Arabidopsis thaliana: one gene and its partner. The protein of the gene in region 1 interacts with the protein of each later gene in a pairwise test. Each region holds a gene or a part of one and is shown on either strand. Other genes may lie near its edges.

Region 1 (7,924 bases):
GCGGCGTGAACTACACGGTGTGGCCTAGACCGCATTTCCTGGAGTAAACTTCGGAACGTCATGCGGTGAGATCTATAGAGGAGTTTAAGAGATGATTGATGATGAAAACATGATCTGGGTTTGATGAATATTATACGAGAGAATCATTTGGTGTGAAGAAGAAGGTAGGAGAAGTGGTGTTGGTGAGAGACGCGAAGAAGATTCGGACAATAATGGTGATTTGGAGGCGTTTCCTTTTTCTTCTTCATCTTCTTAAACGCTTTTACCGCTTTATTAGAGAATTTGTACTTTTTCTTCTATTATTCGCTGATAGGATAAGGATGATAAACCTGTGTGGAAAAAACAACAACAAAAAATGATAAACATGACGTTTTTGGTATGAGTTTGATCTTAAATTCACTTATTTTTTCATATAATCCGTTGACTAGTTTTATCCACTACTATATAAACTAAAACTAGACTAGATAAAGCCGCCTCATTAATTGCACGAATTTGTCAATAAAATTAAGAAAAAAACAACTACTGTATACGTTTCGGTGGTGATCAAATCTTCATTTTCGTAGATGAGGAATGACCAAAATATTTTAACCATTGATCACTAATTCAGAATCTATTTTTTGTTGTTGTTGTGTAACAGCTAAAATTGAAAATCAAAAGATACTTTTGACCGGCCATAATGTGGAAGTCATTAATGTGTCTTACACTATCAATCTATCATCATTCGTTACTTCTTCTTCTACATTCCTTTTCTTTCTTCTTTCTTTCTTAAGAAAACAAAACTAAATAATCCAAGTAGCTAAACTATAGATTCGTTACTTTTCACTGTATGAGTATGAGGCTGAAATATTTCCAATTGTCAACACTTATTTATACATGTATTATAGTTATATGTCATATACATGTAACATGTGTGGCGTCTTAAAAGAAAAGTAAATAGATAATAATAATGTAGATCGGAGAGACACAAAAGCAGACCACGAGGCATTCAAAATGCCAAACTAAAGGGTCACATGTTTGACCCACTACTATAACTAATCTGCTGTTAATGTTTCAATATCCATGTACCATGGGATTGGTTCATTCACATTTGACCAACCAGTTAAGCCTCCCAATAGCTTTGAAAAACTCTCTAGTTTTTCTTTTCTTTTCAATGGATCGGACATGTTAACAACGTTCATAGATATTAATACAATAAACTGAAAACAATAGTTTACCAAAAAATCATAAAACTACATTGTTTTGTTTCGTGTATATGTTAGATGCCTGTAATCTAAGAATTTATACTAGTTCTATTGCCCTGTACATGTTTTTCTTACCCTTACCGAAAAATTGAACTTTTAGCCTTGAATTCTAAGTTTCTTGGTCTTCAAACAATTGAACTACCTATTTTTATGTTTCAAGATGGTTTTTGATTTCTTATTTAGAATACAAATTTTGCATCTCTAACAAAATAATGAAGATGAAAGGAATTTACACGATGAAAAAGGATAAATCGAGACGTACAATGATGAACCCTTAATCATGTTGACCCCCAAAATGGGTACACTAGAATTGGCTTTTGCCCTCTCTGTAAGTGCAAAGAATAAGAACAGTGAAAGAAAAAATCGAACAAACAAACATCTGGGCGACTAGTATTATCTAATTATTCATATTACAAAAGCTATTTCCTTGTAATGATGAAGATGAATAAGTACTCTTTTTACATCCAATATTTTAATCAAGACCCAAAAATTAGTACATATAGAAAACATGACAAAAAAAAAAAAAAAAAACGACCAAGAAAAAAAGAGTCCATAATTATTAATTAGTACATATGTAGATTACCAAGAAATTCTCTATTTGGTATTTATTTTTCATCAGAGATTCGTGGAAACCTTATTAAAAAATGACCAACTTATATTTAATTATCAAGTAAACGTCGAATGACATAAGAAAGAACAACCCCCATCTATCACAATTAATATAATTCAAATAAATATTTTGGGGTCAGTTTATGAAACTGGTTATCATTCAAAGTACGTAATTTAGTTCTGTTAAGGAAGTATTTGGCTATTATGTAATACGGTGCCATAAAAAGAATACAGTACAAACAGTATATTATTCAGTTTTATTCCTAAAAAGAGAATAATCCTAAGATCATTTACATTTGGTCATAAGAAAAATAAAAGCGTGTTCCCCTCTGTTGTTTTTTGATACTCCTTTTACACGACAACATGATAACCAATGAGCTAATTCCACTTACGGTCATAACAACGGTGTAACAAAATCATCTCAACCGTTTAATTGGAATAAAGTTCTTGAGATGGATAAATAGACGATGGAGATTAGCTAATATGAGATTTAAAAGCCGTTGACCTCTCTCTATTCCACTTGGCTTCTCTGCAAAAAAAATCTTTATTTATATATTTACGCCATCTTTGGCGGTCTCTCGTCTTCGATCGTCTCTTTGCTGTCCCTTCAACAGAACTGTTACATCCCTCTCTACGACCAAACTGAATCATTCGATCTTTCGAATCTCGTCATAACTCTGCCAGGTAATATGTGTTTGAATGCTTTATCGATTTTTTCTTAAAAACATTTCTGTGGATGCTTTTTAATTTAGATCCTTTTACTGTTCATGGAGGTGATAAATTGAGCTCTTGTTGATGAAGATTGATAAATTACATGTTTCCTGACACAAACTCTAAAGGAATTTTCAAATTTTCTTGGAATTTTCCAGGGTTTTGATTCTTCTGGAACATTATGATTTTGGAATGTTTTATTATTCCCCTATTTAGGAATTTTAGTGATTTGAATTTTTCTCGGCGGCTAAAGAAGGAAACTATACAATTTTAGATACTAATTCAATCAGAAATCTAAATTCCACAAATCACGCTTCGTGTTTTTTTACATATATATAGGAAATATACTCTTAAAGCTGAGATTTGGAAATGGTGATCGGATTAAGCACAATGCTGGAAAAAACAGAGGCTCTTTTCGCTTCTGATCATGCATCGGTCGTCTCCATGAATTTGTTCGTAGCTTTGCTTTGTGCTTGCATCGTGCTTGGTCACTTGCTTGAGGAGACTCGGTGGATGAACGAGTCAATCACTGCTCTTATCATTGTAAGCTTCGTTTTTTTTGTTTCCCCAAATCTTTAAACACATTGCTTAGAAACATTCTAAATTTGGATTACGCAAAAATAGGGTTCGTGTACTGGGATTGTGATCTTGCTTATAAGTGGAGGCAAAAGCTCAAGGATTCTTGTGTTTAGTGAAGATCTCTTCTTTATTTATCTTCTTCCACCAATTATATTCAACGCAGGGTAAGTTCTTTTTATATAGAATTTCATGAAAAATTGAAAGTCGGAATTGAGTAACACATTTTTTTGTTACAGGTTTCAGGTTAAGAAGAAGCAATTTTTTCGCAACTTCATGACCATTATGTTATTTGGTGCTATTGGAACTCTCATTTCATTTGTTATCATCTCATTTGGTAAAAAACCAATCTCAATCAACTCCCACATTTCAATATCATGAGTCTCATATATTTTGATGATGTTTCCGGTTTTGTTTTTGTTATGGCTAGGTGCTAAACATCTTTTCGAGAAAATGAATATCGGTGATCTTACCATTGCGGACTATCTAGGTACCCTGAAACAAAGAAAACCCTTTTCAAGTTCTTATTCATTAAGTCTCATACTGTTTAAATCTGTACTGATGATTTTGCAGCCATTGGAGCAATATTCTCTGCTACAGACTCTGTTTGCACCTTGCAAGTAAGAACTTTTTTTCTGAAACATTCAAAGATATTATTCTACTACATTTTCTAATCAAAAATTAACTTGCACGCTTTGTTAAATCTAGGTGCTTAATCAAGACGAGACACCTCTCTTGTACAGTCTTGTCTTTGGAGAAGGTGTAGTGAACGATGCCACATCGGTCGTGCTCTTCAATGCAATACAGAGATTCGACCTCACAAATATCAATTCAGCCATAGCTTTGGAGTTTGCTGGAAACTTTTTTTACCTCTTTATCTTAAGCACAGCACTTGGTGTTGCAGTAAGTTTCTTTCTCTCCGCTCCTCAAATTTCTAAACCCGAAAAATTCTCACTCGTTTTCTTTTAGGCTGGATTGCTCAGTGCTTTTGTTATCAAGAAGCTCTATATAGGAAGGTATATTCGTATCTACTGATGGTTAAAAATGTGATTTTACCCTTTCTTTAATAATCCTTTTGCTTTGTTTTTGTTTTGTTTTGTAACATCAGGCACTCTACTGATCGTGAAGTTGCACTTATGATGCTATTGGCTTACTTATCATATATGTTGGCAGAGGTAATAAGAAAAATTTGAAACGTTTTGGTTACATTTTTTCCAACAGAAAATGAAAACATGATACATATATCCTTTGCAGCTATTCCACTTGAGCTCTATCTTGACTGTGTTCTTCTGCGGGATTGTTATGTCTCACTATACATGGCACAATGTTACAGATAAATCCAAGGTCACTACAAAGTAAGTTTCTTTTTCTTCTCCCAATAATTAGAAAATAACTCTACTAATTTGTTGTGCTTGATTGACTAAACTGTATACGTTTTCTTGGCGTAGACATACTTTTGCTGCAATGTCATTTCTAGCTGAGATTTTTATCTTCCTTTACGTTGGAATGGACGCTCTCGATATCGAGAAATGGGACGTTGTACGCAACAGGTGAGACTTAGAGTGTGATAATACATCAATATCTTTTGTTTCATTTTCATAATATTGTTTAACAATTTTGGCAGTCCTGGTCAGTCGATTGGAGTTAGTTCAATACTTCTTGGGCTTATTCTTCTGGGTCGCGCCGCGTTCGTGTTTCCACTTTCCTTCTTGTCCAATTTAACAAAGTCTTCACCGGATGAGAAAATAGACTTAAAGAAACAAGTAACCATTTGGTGGGCTGGTCTGATGCGTGGTGCAGTGTCAATGGCTCTTGCTTATAACCAGGTTTTGATCCGTGAACTACAAGAAACAAAGATAAAAAAGTGATCTTTGGGTTTTAATAAGTTCCCATGACTTAATCTCTTCTCTCTGTTACATCATAGTTCACAACTTCAGGACACACCAAGGTTCTTGGGAACGCTATCATGATCACCAGTACCATCACTGTTGTTCTTTTCAGTACTGTGGTACGTTTCAACACTTTGTTCAAACCGGTTTGCTTCCTACTGAAGTCAAATCGGGTTTAGCCTATCCAACACGTAACCTAATCTCTAACCTTTTTTGCAGGTGTTTGGATTGCTAACCAAACCGTTAGTCAAACATTTGCAGCCTTCATCAAAACAGTCCTCCACGACCGCGCTGCAGATCACACTAAGATCTTCTTTCCACGATCCGATCCTCCATGAGCCGTTGCTCAGTACCCAAGGCCAGTCAGAATACGACCCTGAACAACATGTTAGCTTCAGAATGTTCTGGAAATCTCCGTCCAGGGCCATTCATCATTACTGGAGGAAATTCGATAACGCAGTTATGCGTCGCATATTTGGTGGCCGAGGCGTTTCACCAGTAGTTCCAGGTTCACCCATTGAGAATAGTGTTCCGCAATGGAGTGAAGAAGTAGAAAACAAGGAACAAAACGGCGAACCTTGATGACCATAATGACATGAGTAAGATCTTTGACTTGTTGATCGCGTTTTTTGGCGTTGTTGGACGCAGACGCAACATGGGCCGGCTCTAATTTTTTGCCTCCAGTTTTGGTATAATGGTTTTGGATGTGAGTTCTTATTTGCCCGGTGTGATTTTTTGGTTTGTGGTGTGATTTTGTAAAGCCGGTCCGTTTTTCGTTGTTTGAGTTTGTGGTTTTGTTGAAAAATTGTAACTGTCCATGTAAATAGGGACTGATATAGGGGTGACTTGAGTACACCTAGCTCATATGCAGACGTTAGCGTCTGCGTTTGGAGATTCGAGTTTGCGTTGGTGGGACGTGAGCAGATTTTTTAATCTAAAGTTTGTGTACACTTTCTTGTACTTCTTATACAAAACAAAGGGACACGAATCTTTCTAATGTTCATAATTTATTACTGGGTTTTGCAAGAAACTTGTTGACAATATACAAATAAACTGATAACTTATATATAAATATAACTTTTGAGAAATCTAATCTTATTTTTATGCTTGCACGTATATAAGGACAAAGTGAGTGGGTATCAATCAACCTTATAGTAACATATACAATCTTTCACGCATAAAACCCTATAATGTGAAAACAAGAAACGTCCTTTACATATTTCTTCTCACCTAGATATTATTAATTTTAATATTGAGACTTTGAAACCCCAGAAATAAGATAAAGTGTGGGACAAGAAAAGAAGGCACCTTTTTTTGTTGTTGCTTTTAGCCGTGAGGCCAGCATATGCAGTAACTCACATGCATGCGCCTCTAACCTTGTGGCATTTTAGGAATTATGCAATAATGCACTATACTTAAATACGTTAATTCACAAAGTAATACATTCATTCAGTTCATAAACACGTCTCAAGATTAAGACAAAAATAATCATAAAAAACTGGTGTTTTACATAAACTTATGTCGAAATTAATTAGTAGTCTACATATAATTACTCAAGTGTTATTTGCATGTAAACAGTACAAATTTTTGGAACGTTTGATTTTGATACTACTATAAACTGCAGTATACTGTAAAGCATGCATATGACGTCACTTTAATTTGAAACGTAATTTCAACTTTTTCAAAAGGTTCTTTAGCTTAGCGATAAAAAAAAAAAAAAAAGTTAGTGTATAGTAAACGAACAAATGAAATGAAAAGAAGAGAAAAGTATAAGTCCTCAAAGTGTATTGAATCACTTAACGGTAAATTAGTTTTTATTTTTATTTTTATCCAGAGTTCTTAAGTTAATTATGCATCAATTATGTGGTTCTGACGTAATATATTACTTGCGTTTTTCATCTAAACCAATCTAAAACTGTAACAAAATGTTAAGTGGAGAACAATAAAAAATACAAATAGTAAAAAAAAATTGAAAATCAAACTAAATCTAATTTTATTCGTTATTTTTAGGGGACAAATAAACTCATGAAAATAATGACGTACGTGGTCTAAAATATATGAATGACCTATATAGCTGAAACGGCAAGAAGCCGGAGCGAGAAACAATAGACGGCGGCGAAGACAAAGTAGATGAAAACTCCGGGAGCTTGAGAAGACAGAGAAGCAAGAGATGAAGCCGGAGGAGAAGCCGATGGAGCGAAGGCGGGATCAGGATCTGCGGAAACGTCGTCGTTTTCTGGTTCAGGAAGTGTTGAAGAAGAAGGGATGGTTTGAGTGGAGGAGACGGCGGGTGAAGGGAGGAGAGGAGCGATCTCCGGTGAGATCTTTTCTTCAGAGGGAGAGATTGTTTGCGAAGATGGGATTGTATTTGTCGTCGGCGAAGAGAGAGAAAGTGAGGAGAGAAAGATGAAGGTGATGAGTGTTAGCAATATAGATGAAGCCATCTTTTTTGGTTACTGTAATGATGAACAAATCAAAGCTGAGTTGTTTTTTTCCTTAACTGATGAGAGCGCATTTTGTGTTGTAATAATGATACTGTCTCTATAAAAGAAAACTTTTAGCTCTAATAGTAAAATATTATAAATTGATTTTAAATGGAATTTGTCTCACCTTTTTCCAAAAAGATTATTATTTATCAATTTAAAGGATGTGTTCGGTGGAAAAGAAAATATATTTGCTGAATTCTTGAAGATGGGCGTAGATCGAGTTTTCACTTTTTAGTAGAAGCTCTTATATATTGCACATATTTTCGAATAAACATGTGCTTTACTTTTTGCTGAAAAATATTATGTTAATGCAAATTATACATATTGCTAAGTACGAGTAAAGGCATCTCCATCCATGAGAAACCTACAAAGTTTCTAAAACAAAAAAAATATTAATATTATATTATAATTT
Region 2 (5,596 bases), on another chromosome or scaffold:
ATATCAGGTGATGCGTCCCAACCCTGGTGATGAGTATACTATTACTGAGCTTAACCAAGTCAGCTGGTCATTCGAGGGTACCCCACAGGTAGCTTTCAATTGCCTGTCTGGCAAAATGAAAAGAAAAAAAAGACTGGCAAAACTTTTCACACTTGCTTTACTGAGCTCATGCGTCTTTCTTAATCAATCTTCCGTACACTGAGAGATCATGTTTTTCCTTTTCAGATTCTTGTACCCATTGCAGATGGCTCGGAGGAAATGGAAGCTGTTGCTATCATTGATGTCCTGAAGCGGGCAAAAGCAAATGTTGTCGTAGCTGCGCTTGGTAACAGTTTGGAAGTGGTAGCATCTCGGAAAGTCAAGCTGGTGGCAGATGTGCTTCTCGACGAGGCTGAAAAGAATTCGTACGATCTGATTGTGTTGCCTGTGAGTGCTAACTTCTTCAAATTACTAAAGTTTATAGTGTCAAGCAAGTTGAGGCCAACATGATGAACTTCTCTTTTTATTATCAGGGTGGTCTCGGCGGTGCTGAAGCATTTGCAAGTTCGGAGAAGCTAGTGAATATGTTAAAGAAGCAGGCGGAATCAAACAAACCATATGGAGCAATTTGTGCCTCTCCTGCTCTGGTGTTTGAGCCACATGGTTTACTCAAGGTACGAGAGTAATCACAATAGCACACACATTTGCTTAGATGTGTAGGATCATTACTATATATCCGATGGCATGGAGTATTCTGTTATCAAACCGTTATTTTTGCACTTAAAACTAAGGGAAGGGTCACAATTTTTAATGGATTTTTTTACAGGGTAAGAAGGCAACAGCGTTTCCAGCAATGTGCAGCAAACTGACGGACCAGAGTCACATCGAGCATCGAGTCTTGGTGGACGGCAATCTCATAACGAGCAGGGGTCCAGGAACCTCATTGGAGTTTGCACTTGCAATTGTAGAGAAGTTTTACGGGCGCGAGAAAGGACTTCAGCTCTCAAAGGCAACACTTGTGTAAACTCATGAGTATCTTAGGTAAGAGTGACTTTAATAAGAAAAAGGCTTTAGTATCAAACGATCAATGAGTGTACCGTTGTTGTGGTGAGCTTTGTACTAAGTGTGATGCTTAAAACTGTCTTATAAATAAACGAGTTTACTCTGTTTTTATCAGAAAGTTTTTTTGTTACTTTACATTGCGAATTTTAGAATATAAGAAAGTGCTGAACAAAAAGAAAGAATATGAGAAAGTAAAATTTCTTATAAAATTACAAAACAAATTGAATTATATCTGCAGATCATTGTTATTAACCTAGCTTCTTGTTCTGTAACATCTGTACCATAAGATGAAGAATCCAAGGACTCTGTACCCGACGATGAAACTTGCCATGATACCAAGATTGCTCCATTTCTGAGACTCTTTGAGGTCTTGTTGTTTTAAGAACACGTCTCCTCGATACTCGTTGATCATCAGGCATTCGAATGGATACTTGAAGAGGCTGAGATAATGCATGAACTCCCAGTAAACGGGGATCCTGTCCTTTGCAATGAAATACCCGGAGAAGAGGAAGAAAGATCCCATGAGACCTGAGATTACTGATGTCCCCATTATGAAGTTTGGGACAAGAGCACTGAAACATGCGACAAAAGAGTTTGACATCAGAAGAACAATCCATATCACCAATGAGAAGTAGAGGAAGCCGTCTAGCTCTCTTCTGAGACCGACCAGCCAATAAACCGGCGTAGCAAAGAGCATGCTTATGATCAACAAGAAGGGAATGAATATGAGAGTATCTGCTAAAACGTAAGACAAAACTCTGTAAGCCCTTCTCGATGTCTCTCTCATTAGGATTCTCCTGTCTTGCAAGAAAATTGGAAGTCCCTCTGTTGTGGAAGATAGCAGGAAAGTGAGGATAAAGGCGAAGAACCCGGTTCGCAAGACTTTCGCTTCTTTCTTTTGATTTCCTACGTTCAAGTAAATCGACCCCAGTATAAGACCGGCAATGGAAGCTTGTAAGGCTCTGGTTGTGAACAATTGCTTGGTTCTGAAGATGTTCTTGCAAGATCTTTGCCCGAGTATCTGCACTTCCTCTAACACTGAGTTGCTGTGAGAATCAGATTGATGAAGCTCTCCTCCTGCACTAATATAGCAACTCTTCCATGTTTTGCTATGACCATAACATGAGATTTCTCTGCAACTCTGGGTTCTGATCGGTTCAAGACTCCCTGCAATATCAATTGCATACTCCAAGACATTTACCCGCCTAGGAATCTGGTGACCGGAGAACTTAATCTTCTGATGAAGGCTATAAACTGATCCGTTTTGAACAACCATCCCGTTAGAGAGCAACACTATCCGGTCTATCTGCTCGAGTATGCGAAAACCAGGCTGGTGAATCGTCAGAACAATGGTTTTACCTTGTTTAATCGTCATATCTTTGAGAAGCGTCACAACTTGAAGAGCGGACGCAGAATCCAAACCAGAGGTTGGCTCATCGATCAATATAACATTTGGATCATGAACAAGTTCAACTCCAATAGAAACCCTTCTTCTCTCTCCTCCAGAGATTCCAGATCTTGATCCTTGACCGATCCTTGAATCCGCAACATGTTCTAGACCAAGCTCTTGAATCAGCCTCTTCACCTTTGCAGCCGCGTCTTTCCTCTTTGTCTTCAGCCTCAAGAGTGCGCTGTACGTCAGTGTTTCTTGCACCGTAAGAAACGGAAACAGAGCATCTTCTTGTGGCACAAACCCTGAAACCCTCCTGTACTCAGGACCATCCATAGGCCTACCGTTGACAAGCACTTGCCCTGAAACTTTCCCATGAGAAACTTTTCCGGCTAGAATCTCCAGCAACGTGGTTTTCCCTGCTCCGCTTGGACCCGCGATCGCAGTGATCTCCGCGGATCTTGCATCACAAGAAACATCCTTTAAGATAACCTTTTCCTCCTTCTCACTCAACAAACCACATAAATTAGAAAACTTTGGAGTGTTTCCGCCTATTCTATACGACAGATTCTTGGTTTCTAATCTATATGAGATTTCCCGGCCACCGGGAATAGGAGCTTTTACCGGCAATTCCATCTAAGAAAGAAAGAAGGAAAAAGAAAGCATCAAACTTTGAGAGATAGAGAAATCAACAAATTGAGCAAAGAGTGTGAGATTAAGTGAAGAATAAATGGTAGAGAAGATGAACTAACACACCAAACTTTAAGGAACCTCTCCTTTATTATTCAAACATTCAAAAGCTTCAAGACTTTATTAGCTTTCTCTTATTGCCTTCCATGAAAACCGAAAAGCACTTGACTATGACTAAATTAAACCAAAGATATTTATGATTCCAAGCTTAAAATGCTTAATTTGTTTTTCTTAATAAAGAATTTGTTCGTAAATAATATTGATACAGTTAGATAAATTTATATGAAATTAAACATTTGTTGTTTTTCTTGTATTTTTTAATTTCTAATGAAATTGGTTGACCAAAAAAAATATCTAAGAAATTAAGATATGTAGTTGGTTCTTTTTTTTTTTTTTTTTTAATTGGGTTTTGAAATTGTGAAGAGGTACAAGAAAAGCAAAAAAAGAATTAGTTAGAAAGAGATTTGGTTTCGTCTAGAGATTCTCAAATTCGGGTGAGCTGAAAAATTGACCGTGAAATGTTTGCCTTGTTGGTGAACTTGTTTTATCTAATTTATTAGTTTTTTCTAACAAAGAAAGAGAGGAAACCCAGTTTGGTTGTTATATATTACCTACAATATTTAATTACGTGTTTCGAACTCGCTTACGGAAATTCAGATGTTTAATTAACAAGGAATAATCACGTAAGAAACCTCACTAATTTAATTATTTTTGGATAATAATAATAAAAAGACGCATTATAAGATGTTGTCTAGGTGGGCATTCGGTTAGATGTGGCTGCAAAGGTGAAGGGGCTGATTCAAAGTTGTGACGAAAAAAATCGAATTTTGATTTGGGTTTGGAAAAAACACTTAAAGTTGTGACTAATAAACTTTAATTCGGTATAAAATTAAAAACAACTTGGACCAAACGTAAGCGGGTGACTGGAAAAACGATATTTTTATACCAGTACAATTTGCAAAGTATTGTTTTCTTATATAAAACATACTGTACAATGTTAATTCTTTACCCAAATTCATAAAAAAAAAAAAATTATATCCAAACTTTATAGGTCGCACGTATTTTAGGATCTGCAATAACAAATGTTAGTTAATACTAACATACGTCGACTCAAATGACCCATGTTTAATGAATTAGCATCATCTTCAATCAAACCATGTCGTTTTGATCACAATTTTTCTTTTTCTTTTTTAAACCTAAGATTCAAATCCAAAACTAAAAGTAAAAAATAATATAAAAACACGAAATGAAACAATCTCGACAATCCAAAGAGCAAACAAAATCTTCAAAGTTGCGAGAGAGAGTTTTTTTCTCTAGACCTAACAATGTGTATTAGCAGGTTTCTGCAATGGGTGTTGCCAATCTTCGTGTTATGCATTATGTGCATAAAGATAAGGCCTTCGCGTACTGGTCTTGTACATGTGTCTACGCACCTGAATCTCGGTATTGCTCTGAAGAGCACAAAAAGATGGCCTTAGCAGAACGGGAATATGAGCTACCACATAACTTTGCCAATGTCCATTTGCATACGAATATGGAGGATCTTGTCCTACCAAAGATTATAAGCTATTTGAGAGATCCTCAACTAGGTATCATTGAAATACCTAATCTACAATACATAGACGACGTTTTTAATGTCACTCCCACTGAGCAACCAGATATGTTCTCTACTAACCTCGACGAAAGAGAAGAATTCAACATATGGTTGTTTATGATGATTTCGTGACAAATGGGTTTCTCATGTCAATTGAAATAACAATGGGACGATTTTGAAAATAATGTAAAATAGTAATGATATGTACTACAATTTTTAGTTTTACATAATATCCTTGAAATTTGAAAGATCCATCTAAACCCATTTATGCTTGGGGTTTTTCCATTTTCACTAAAACCTCTCCATTTTTATCATCTTCCAATGGCGATTTCTCGTTCCATCCTTCACCGGCCAGCTAAATCCTTTTCCTCACTGTTCACTCGTTCCTTCTCTTCGTCATCTCCTCTCGCCAATTCCCCTACTGTTTCTCGATCTGCGTCTTCGTTGTTGAATCGTTCACGTTCTCTCGTTTCTGGATTCTCAGCGTTGGTCCGTGCCGGTGTATCTCTAGCTAGGTGTATGTCTACGCAGGTTACTTCCGCTTCGCTGAATGATCCGAGCCCTAACTGGTCGAATCGGCCACCAAAGGATACGATTTTGCTTGATGGTTGTGATTTCGAGCATTGGTTTGTTGTCATGGAAATCTCTCTAGAGACGAGATTATTGATTACTACATCAAAACCCTAGCTCAAGTTGTTGGCAGGTATATATATAGATCCATTTCCACAGTGTTCTTTGATCTGTTTCTAGAGTCTTACTTTGTTAAGTGTGTATCTTATTTTTGCGTTTTAGTGAAGAGGAGGCAAGGATGAAGATTTACTCTGTGTCGCACAAATGCTACTTTGCTTTTGGAGCTCTTGTTTCAGAAGATCTTTCACATA

What was found. The genes of interacting proteins can lie anywhere in the genome.
Region 2: the proteins of NHX4 (region 1) and ABCG10 interact in a protein complementation assay, tested with the Arabidopsis thaliana proteins (one large-scale study listed by BioGRID).

What each region holds. Positions count from the first base shown.
Region 1 is NC_003074.8:1,928,522-1,936,445, reverse strand, and holds NHX4 (sodium hydrogen exchanger 4), read left to right. Parts: upstream 1-2,372; 5' UTR 2,373-2,534; intron 2,535-2,808; exon of another isoform or gene 2,809-2,900; 5' UTR 2,901-2,930; coding exon 2,931-3,104; intron 3,105-3,185; coding exon 3,186-3,304; intron 3,305-3,376; coding exon 3,377-3,474; intron 3,475-3,567; coding exon 3,568-3,627; intron 3,628-3,710; coding exon 3,711-3,757; intron 3,758-3,845; coding exon 3,846-4,040; intron 4,041-4,106; coding exon 4,107-4,153; intron 4,154-4,245; coding exon 4,246-4,312; intron 4,313-4,391; coding exon 4,392-4,492; intron 4,493-4,585; coding exon 4,586-4,687; intron 4,688-4,761; coding exon 4,762-4,963; coding exon of another isoform or gene 4,964-5,005; exon of another isoform or gene 5,006-5,061; coding exon 5,062-5,145; intron 5,146-5,245; coding exon 5,246-5,608; 3' UTR 5,609-6,500; downstream 6,501-7,924. Other genes in the region: TLP9 (tubby-like protein 9), read right to left, coding at 1-62; AGP27 (arabinogalactan protein 27), read right to left, coding at 7,093-7,470. UniProt on the Arabidopsis thaliana protein: May act in low affinity electroneutral exchange of protons for cations such as Na(+) or K(+) across membranes. May also exchange Li(+) and Cs(+) with a lower affinity.
Region 2 is NC_003070.9:19,860,349-19,865,944, reverse strand, and holds ABCG10 (ABC-2 type transporter family protein), read right to left. Parts: upstream 3,125-5,596; 5' UTR 3,068-3,124; coding exon 1,295-3,067; downstream 1-1,294. Other genes in the region: DJ1B (Class I glutamine amidotransferase-like superfamily protein), read left to right, coding at 8-88, 226-426, 513-653, 806-1,003; AT1G53265 (uncharacterized protein), read left to right, coding at 4,470-4,847; AT1G53260 (uncharacterized protein), read left to right, coding at 5,524-5,596.